Linked DNA regions of Caenorhabditis elegans. The protein of the gene in region 2 purifies or fractionates together with the protein of the main gene of each other region. This does not show direct contact. Each region holds a gene or a part of one and is shown on either strand. Other genes may lie near its edges. The genes, in order: shc-1 and sre-29.

What was found.
Region 1: the proteins of sre-29 (region 2) and shc-1 fractionate together in Caenorhabditis elegans (co-fractionation; one large-scale study listed by BioGRID). This does not show direct contact.

What each region holds. Positions count from the first base shown.
Region 1 is NC_003279.8:971,180-975,102, forward strand, and holds the start of shc-1 (SHC-transforming protein homolog 1), read right to left. Parts: upstream 1,955-3,923; 5' UTR 1,874-1,954; coding exon 1,808-1,873; intron 1,759-1,807; coding exon 1,688-1,758; exon of another isoform or gene 1,542-1,687; coding exon 1,469-1,541; intron 908-1,468; exon of another isoform or gene 772-907; coding exon 281-771; intron 1-280. UniProt on the Caenorhabditis elegans protein: Scaffold protein which plays an important role in the activation of the JNK pathway composed of mlk-1, mek-1 and kgb-1; by bringing together mek-1 and mlk-1, promotes mlk-1-mediated phosphorylation and activation of mek-1 which in turn phosphorylates kgb-1.
Region 2 is NC_003280.10:12,400,155-12,404,077, forward strand, and holds the start of sre-29 (Serpentine receptor class epsilon-29), read right to left. Parts: upstream 1,738-3,923; coding exon 1,280-1,737; intron 660-1,279; coding exon 503-659; intron 462-502; coding exon 339-461; intron 182-338; coding exon 57-181; intron 1-56.

The DNA.
Region 1 (3,923 bases), on a different chromosome or scaffold from region 2:
AGGAGCCTAAACATTTTTTAATTTTTTAAGTATTGACCGTTTGCTTTTAAAAATGACTAATCGAATACTGAAAACACAGTTAACTTTTTTTTCAATTTTCGAATTATAATTAGGTTTGAAAATTGCCGAAAATGTCGGCATTCAGTTGGAATTTTGGCAATTGCCGAAAATTTCCGATTCCCACGCGCCCCTGGTGTGAACCTAGTGAGCATGAAGCCAAACGTTTTAGAAATTCAGCAAAATTCTAGCTTTTTTCTATAAAAAATCTAAAAAACCTTACCGAACCAAAAAATCGCCTTCCGTCTTCAACAAAGCCTGTGCATCCTCTCTGGATAAATTTCCATGATACCAAACTTTCCCCACAACATCCTCAGTTACAGTAGGTGCTCGGCAATTCGACACAAATGACTGTCGATGCAGGGAACTTCGATGTCTCATCGGCGGCGCCGGCACCGTAAATCCATCGTTAGAAGTTGAAGCATTCGCCTGTGCATCAAAAGTGTTCACATTGATCGCAGTGGTAAGGACGTCGATGAGCTTGTGCACATCCTCGATGAACACCACGTGGCATCGACGATCCGTTCCATCCTTGTTTTTTGCAATGTAGCCGAACATTAGCTCCGTGTCCGTACCCTTTTGGCCTTGGGCTCCGAATGAGAAGAATGAGAAGGGATGACGTTGAATTAGACGACTTTGTTTTATGATTTTGATCATTTTCGAGGAAATGTTGATGTCTACGGGGAAGTTTTCTTTTTTCACTTCACCGATTACCTGAAAATAAGGATGGTTTACCTGGGCTTTTTCATCGACCCGTGAAGTGTCGGCTGCAATAATTTTAGTCGAAATTAGTGATAATAACTTTTCTATGAATAGCGGCTGACATCATTTAGCGCGATTTTTGATCGACCTGTAAGATGTCGGTTGCTTTAGTACATTCTATAGTGGCAGGCTTTTGGCTGAATTTTACTGGATATATAAGCTATCAAAATTTGAGCATGTCGATGCACCATGTAATTATCTCAGTTTATTTCGCTGCTATCAAAAAGTGTTAAAATGCAAAGTTGTAGTAGAAAAAACGATAAATATTTTGTCAATTGACACTTTTTCAAAAAAAAACCAAAACCAGCAGAGATATAAGTAGTCAAAGTTGAGTCAGATATTTCCAGTCGATGCACCATGTAACCTTTCTCTAATAACCTGTGAGATGTCGGTTGCTATAATTTTTTAGTCATTAATTTGGACAGCTTGTTAATTTGAAATAATTCTTGATGATATCGTAGCGCGGCCGACATTTCACGGGTCCTTTTTTTTAAACATTTTGCAAAGCTGGTCATGCATTTTTGGTAACACTTAATATCAAATTAATGAGAAAATGTTTTGTAAATTTTTACCATTAGCCATGCCCAGAAAATGGCAAGTTTTTTATTTTATTTTCTTTTGTTTTTTTAATTCACAAAAAAAAACTCACCCTACTAACAACTGGATTGATTTCTCGAGCCGCAGTCACGCCAACAGTAGCTGCAACGTGTTGTATACATTCTCTGAAAATTGAACAGTTACTTTATTACGTAGATTTTTTATATATTTGAGCTTGCAGATGTTACCTGCCTTCATGCCTGCCTACCGCCTGATTTCTAAATTTTTGAATAAGATTTTTTTTTGATTTTAAGCCATAAGAAAAACTAACGAAACAACTTGAACTCTCATCTCGGAAACCATCACGTTAATTGACTCGACTACTGGAACACTTCCGAGGTACTGAAAGACAATTTTATATTTTCGGGGAAAAAACTAATAAAAAACTCACAGTAGCCGACAGAGAAACCCCGCTGCTCCGCAGCTCCTCTGCAAATGAGGGCTCCACGTTGAGCATCGCCGCAAGTTGATTTTTCGACGGAATTTTTGATTATTTTTAGAAAAAATCTAACTCGAAATTCGTTACAACCGAAATTTTGCAAGATTGAGTGAATGAGGAATGACCGGGAGAGAAACGGAGACGCAGGCGGTGAGCGGAGTGGGAGAGAGAGCGCGCGAGACGGAGAGGCGCAGGCAGTGGTAGGGAGGAGACAGGGAAAGATTAGATTGGTGTTGACTGGGTGAGTCAGCATTCTAATAAGTTAAGTTGACTCATAACTTTGTTTTTTGATCAGAGGGGGGGGGGGGGGGCCGTGGCCTAGAAATATCATTGCCTACTTATTACGTCACTAATGGTCTAGGAAACCTTGATAGCTTTTTTGGAGAAGATATGACGTCATTGGTGGACTAGAAATCTTATTTTAGTTCTGGAAGAGAAATATTTTGACCGTGGAAGACAAATTAATGATGTGACCGGTGGCCTAGAAGTTTCAAATTATACCTGGGGAAATAAATGACGCCACTGGTGGCCTAGAAAACTTAAACTATGCCTGAAGACGTCACCGGTGACCTAGAAATTTAATTCTGGCGACGTCATAGAAATTTGAATTTTGATGAGAAATATAATTTTATTGGTTTTCTGAAAATTGAATTTTATTGATTTTTTGGCAACCGGGAAATTGGAAAATTTAATAAATTGAACAAATGCAATAAAATAAGCAGTTTTTCAACAGTCATTACTTTTTTCCGTGAACCGTTTTGATTTTAATTTGTAAATCTAGGTCGGAAAAGTCACACACACCGAGGAGCTAGGCTTCCCTCATCCTCCCTGGATCAGTCGGTAACTGCTTCGACTGGGGAGTGGGAGTGGGAGGGGTGGGATGAGTTCAATTCTTCTGGAATTCCATAATTTTTATTTTTGTTTTTTTGCGCCTACATATACCTGTGAAAATTGGAACTCGACACAAAAACCTCTCTAGCGCGGCTTAAATTTACTTCAATTCTTCCGGAATTCCATAATTTTTATTTTTGTTTTTTTGCGCCTACATATACCTGTGAAAATTGGAACTCGACACAAAAACCTCTCTAGCGCGGCTTAAATTTACTTCAATTCTTCCGGAATTCCATAATTTTTATTTTTGTTTTTTTGCGCCTACATATACCTGTGAAAATTGGAACTCGACACAAAAACCTCTCTAGCGCGGCTTAAATTTACTTTCCTGTCCCAAAAACTCATCTATAATATTTTTAAAAAATCTAGAATCCAAATCTATCAGATTTTTTTGAATTTTTGATTTTTTTCACATCGAGATTCGGAATCAGCGGAAAATTTGGAGTCAATTAAAAATATTTTCCAGATTTCGATACTCCACATTTAAAGGAGATCACCTGAAACGCCAGAATATGATACTTCATACTCTCCATCTTCTCGCTTTTGAAAATAATCAAAAAAAATAGTCGCCGTATTTATTGATATAGAAAAAATACCAACAAAATTGTAACTATTGATTAGCCATACAGGGTCTTTAAAGTCAACATTCATAGTGGGAGCTGGAAATAAAAATATATAATAACTTGTTAAAAGAATTTATTGTGGAGTTATAACACCTATAGACAATTAAAATCACCTGCTGCCTAAAGAGTATTTACCAGAAGCAAAGGTTTTCTGAATTTAGTGGAGTTTGTCCATTTACTTTTTTGCATGTTATTGAATTGAAATGATACATAGTGAAACTAGAGGTAAAATTATTTACTAGGTTTAGGCTTAGGCTCAGGATTAGGCTTAAGCTTAGGCTTAGTTTTAGGTTTAAGCTTAGGCTTAGAATTACCGATAACTGATAACTTTTGCAAATTTAGTTTCTGTAATATCGGCAATAGCCAAAATTGCCGGAAATTTCTGCGATTCGAATAAATAAATTGAAATAAAAATTAGTTCCTAAGATACATGTTATCTTTTTGCAGGAAAGTAGTAAACTCATGAAATGAGAAATTGCGATGAGGAAGGAAACATTCCTATGGTTCCTTAGACAATTTCTCACCTTACATTAGTATATAATATATAAATGATG
Region 2 (3,923 bases):
AGAGAGGAAGAGGAAGAGAAAAAAAAAAGTTTTTTTATTGCAATTTCCCAACTTACAAAAACAGGAAGTTCTCCACAAAATGACAGCAAAATGGGGGGATTAGGTCATAAAATAGTGCAGTAATTCCGATTCCACATAGAGCAATGCATGATAAAACGACAAAGACAAGCCGGGTTCCAAGCTGCAAATTTTAGGTTCAAGATGTCCAAAATTGCCCACAATTTGCCGGAAAATTACCCCAACTTGAAGTTTTATTTGCCCGTTTTACCCAATTTGCCAGGTTTTTTTATCGCCTTTTTGTTTGATTTTTACGCATGTTGTGTGCCCCCAAAACTCACATATAACGCTCTTAAATTCTCCTTGACCTGAAATTGCTGGGAAACCGAAAAATGCCTGCGTCTCCTTGGATTTCTAATCTCTCGTTCAAAAGATTCATTGCACTTTTTCACAAAGAAATATGCCTGGAATTTTTGAAAATTTGATAAAAATAAAAATATTATACCATTGCAGAAAATGGGCAACAAATAATCCAAGGAAGCTGGGCTAGAAATGGCCCAACTTTTTGAAAGAGTAGGGCAAGAGATGTGGATATTGATAAAAATTGAGAGATAACTGTTAGAAATAGAGGAATAAAAAGTTGAGTGTTGGATTCGTAGTTTCTGAAGGAAAATATTTTGGAAAAAATTAAAAAGATCGAATTCGAATTTCGCGCAATTTTAAATGTAATTTTGCGGCTAAATTTGTTCAAAAATTATGCATTAATATTTTAATTTTTCTGAGATATTTTCTGAGGAAATTTTATGCTAATTTTTTTAAGTTAAAAGTGTAAATTTGGAGTCAAAAAGCTTTTTAAATTTAAATTTTGAATGTTAAAATTTCCCTATAAAACAATCGAAAAATTTGGAAAATTCATTATTTTTAAATTAAAAAAAAGTTTGTTTGAAAGTTTTAGTTTTAATTTTATTATCGAAGGTTTTTGAATACTTAAATTTCGAGTTTGGTCACAATTTTTTTGGTTAGGTGAATTTTTATTTAAAAAACGCTAAATTTCAAGTTCAATTGTTTTTAAAAATTTCGATTTTTTCGTTACAAAATCAGAAAACTGGAAATTTTATATATTAAAATTTTTTTCTCAAAATTTAAATTAAAGTTTTGAATTTAAATTGAAATTCCAAACTTGAGATTTGTACCAATTAAAAAAAAATTTTTTTAGTTTGAAAAAAAATTCAAATAAGAATTTCAAATTTAAATAAATTTCCCTTTAACAATATGTACTAACTCTATCAAAACCGACGCAACCACCCTCTCCACCGCAATTGCAAGAACTCCAAATATGATAGTAAACATGTAGTGCCATTGCAGAAAACCCCCAAAAATCAATAATTCCAGACCATTTACTGATTCAACTTTTAGCTTCCGCGTTGGGTCACTGGTCCAAATTTCAATATGCACGCCGAGTTCAAATCCTGGATTCAAAATTTTCAACCGATAAGCTATAGTAATCAATTTTCCAATTATAAGCTCAAACCAAATCCCAAATAAAGGAATCGCCAGAATATACAAATTGCGGTGAAACATCTTAATTTTCAGAATTATATAAATGTTTAAAGTTAGAATATAGGCACATATAAGGTAAGAAAACAACTCGACGATTGATAATACCAGTTGAAAATTGAAAGTTTCATCGTAGAAATGTATAGGTAACCAGATATCGTTTGAATTGATTTTTATGAGCATTTTTTTAAAGTAAAACTCACACTTTTTTGAGTATATAATAGCTAGCCAATATCGCAGATCACCTGCGCTGAACTTTTTTGTTTTCCTGAACCTAAATTTCTTTAAGACACGGCATATACTTAAAACGCACAAAGCACACGGCAATTTGTGAGTTTCCGAGAACAAAAAGCTGTGAGTTGTGTTTATTGGTCATTTGTAGAACGACGAACAGAACCTGGAAAGTTTTGAAGCCAATAACTATGAAATGAATAATTTTTAAAAAAATTTCCCACTAAGTCTCCGAAGCACCGCCCATTTAATGGTTGGTGTCTCAAAATTGTTTATTATTTGGAATGAGATTTTTTTCTACCTAGCAAAAATATTTTTCTTACGAATTTTGAGCTTTACAAAGCTTTTTCAAACTTTTGATTTCAAAAACGTGTGCTCTGTGTCCTCGGCAGTGTGAGCACATTAGAGCAAGCAGTTGTCATTTTTTGAAGCAATTGGTGTTATAGTGTTCAGCATTCTCCAGTCAGCATTTTACTCAGACCTTGAAACATGCTAAATACTTGATATTTTGCATATTCCTCTTCAACCTTGCTCACGGAGCCGCCACTGTTCTGACCCTAAATAACTGCACTTCAAATGAAAAAATCGAGGAAGTTTCTTGCCTTTTTGTGAGTTTTTCTAAAGAATCAATTTTAAGCTTCTTAATTGAGGTCTAAATATGACTATTTTGTTTAGTAGGCACCTCTTCAGGTCTACACGCCTACCTCATGCCTACATGCCCCGGCTACTAGATTTTCACGTTCGCTGGTTCAATTTTGATAGTAGGCATAGGTAAACATAGTAGGCAGAGGTAAACGGTACCCTCAAATCAGGGGTGGGCGGCAAATTTTTTTCCGGCAAACCGGCAAACCGGTGATTTGCCGAAAATGCGAATTTCCGGCAAATCGGCAAACCGGCATATTGCCAAAAATAAAAATTTCCGGCAAATCGGCAAACCGGCAATTTGCCGGAAACAAAAATTTCCGGCAAATCGGCAAACCGGCGATTTGCCGAAAATGAAAGTTTCCGGCAAATCGGCAAACCGATGATTTGCCGAAAATGAAAATTTCCGGCAAATCGGCAAACCGGCAATTTGTCGAAAATGAAAATTTCCGGCAAATCGGCAAACCGGCATTTTACCAAAAATAAAAATTTCCGGCAAATCGGCAAACCGGCATATTGCCAAAAATAAAAATTTCCGGCAAATCGGCAAACCGGCATTTTGCCGAAAATGAAAGTTTCCGGCAAATCGGCAAACCGGTGATTTGCCGAAAATGAAAATTTCCGGCAAATCGGCAAACCGTCAATTTGTCGAAAATGAAAATTTCCGGCAAATCGGCAAACCGGCATTTTACCAAAAATAAAAATTTCCGGCAAATCCGCAAACCGGCATATTGCCAAAAATAAAAATTTCCGGCAAATCGGCAAACCGGCATTTTGCCGAAAATGAAAGTTTCCGGCAAATCGGCAAACCGGTGATTTGCCGAAAATGAAAATTTCCGGCAAATCGGCAAACCGTCAATTTGTCGAAAATGAAAATTTCCGGCAAATCGGCAAACCGGCATTTTACCAAAAATAAAAATTTCCGGCAAATCCGCAAACCGGCATTTTGCCGAAAATGAAAGTTTCCGGCAAATCGGCAAACCGGTGATTTGCCGAAAATGAAAATTTCCGGCAAATCGGCAAACCGTCAATTTGTCGAAAATGAAAATTTCCGGCAAATCGGCAAACCGGCGATTTGCCGAAAATGAAAGTTTCCGGCAAATCGGCAAACCGATGATTTGCCGAAAATGAAAATTTCCGGCAAATCGGCAAACCGGCAATTTGTCGAAAATGAAAATTTCCGGCAAATCGGCAAACCGGCATTTTACCAAAAATAAAAATTTCCGGCAAATCGGCAAACCGGCATATTGCCAAAAATAAAAATTTCCGGCAAATCGGCAAACCGGCATTTTGCCGAAAATGAAAGTTTCCGGCAAATCGGCAAACCGGTGATTTGCCGAAAATGAACATTTCCGGCAAATCGGCAAACCGGCATTTTGCCGAAAATGAAAGTTTCCGGCAAATCGGCAAACCGGTGATTTGCCGAAAATGAACATTTCCGGCAAATCGGCAAACCGGCGATTTGCCGAAAATGAAAATTTCCGGCAAATTCGTAA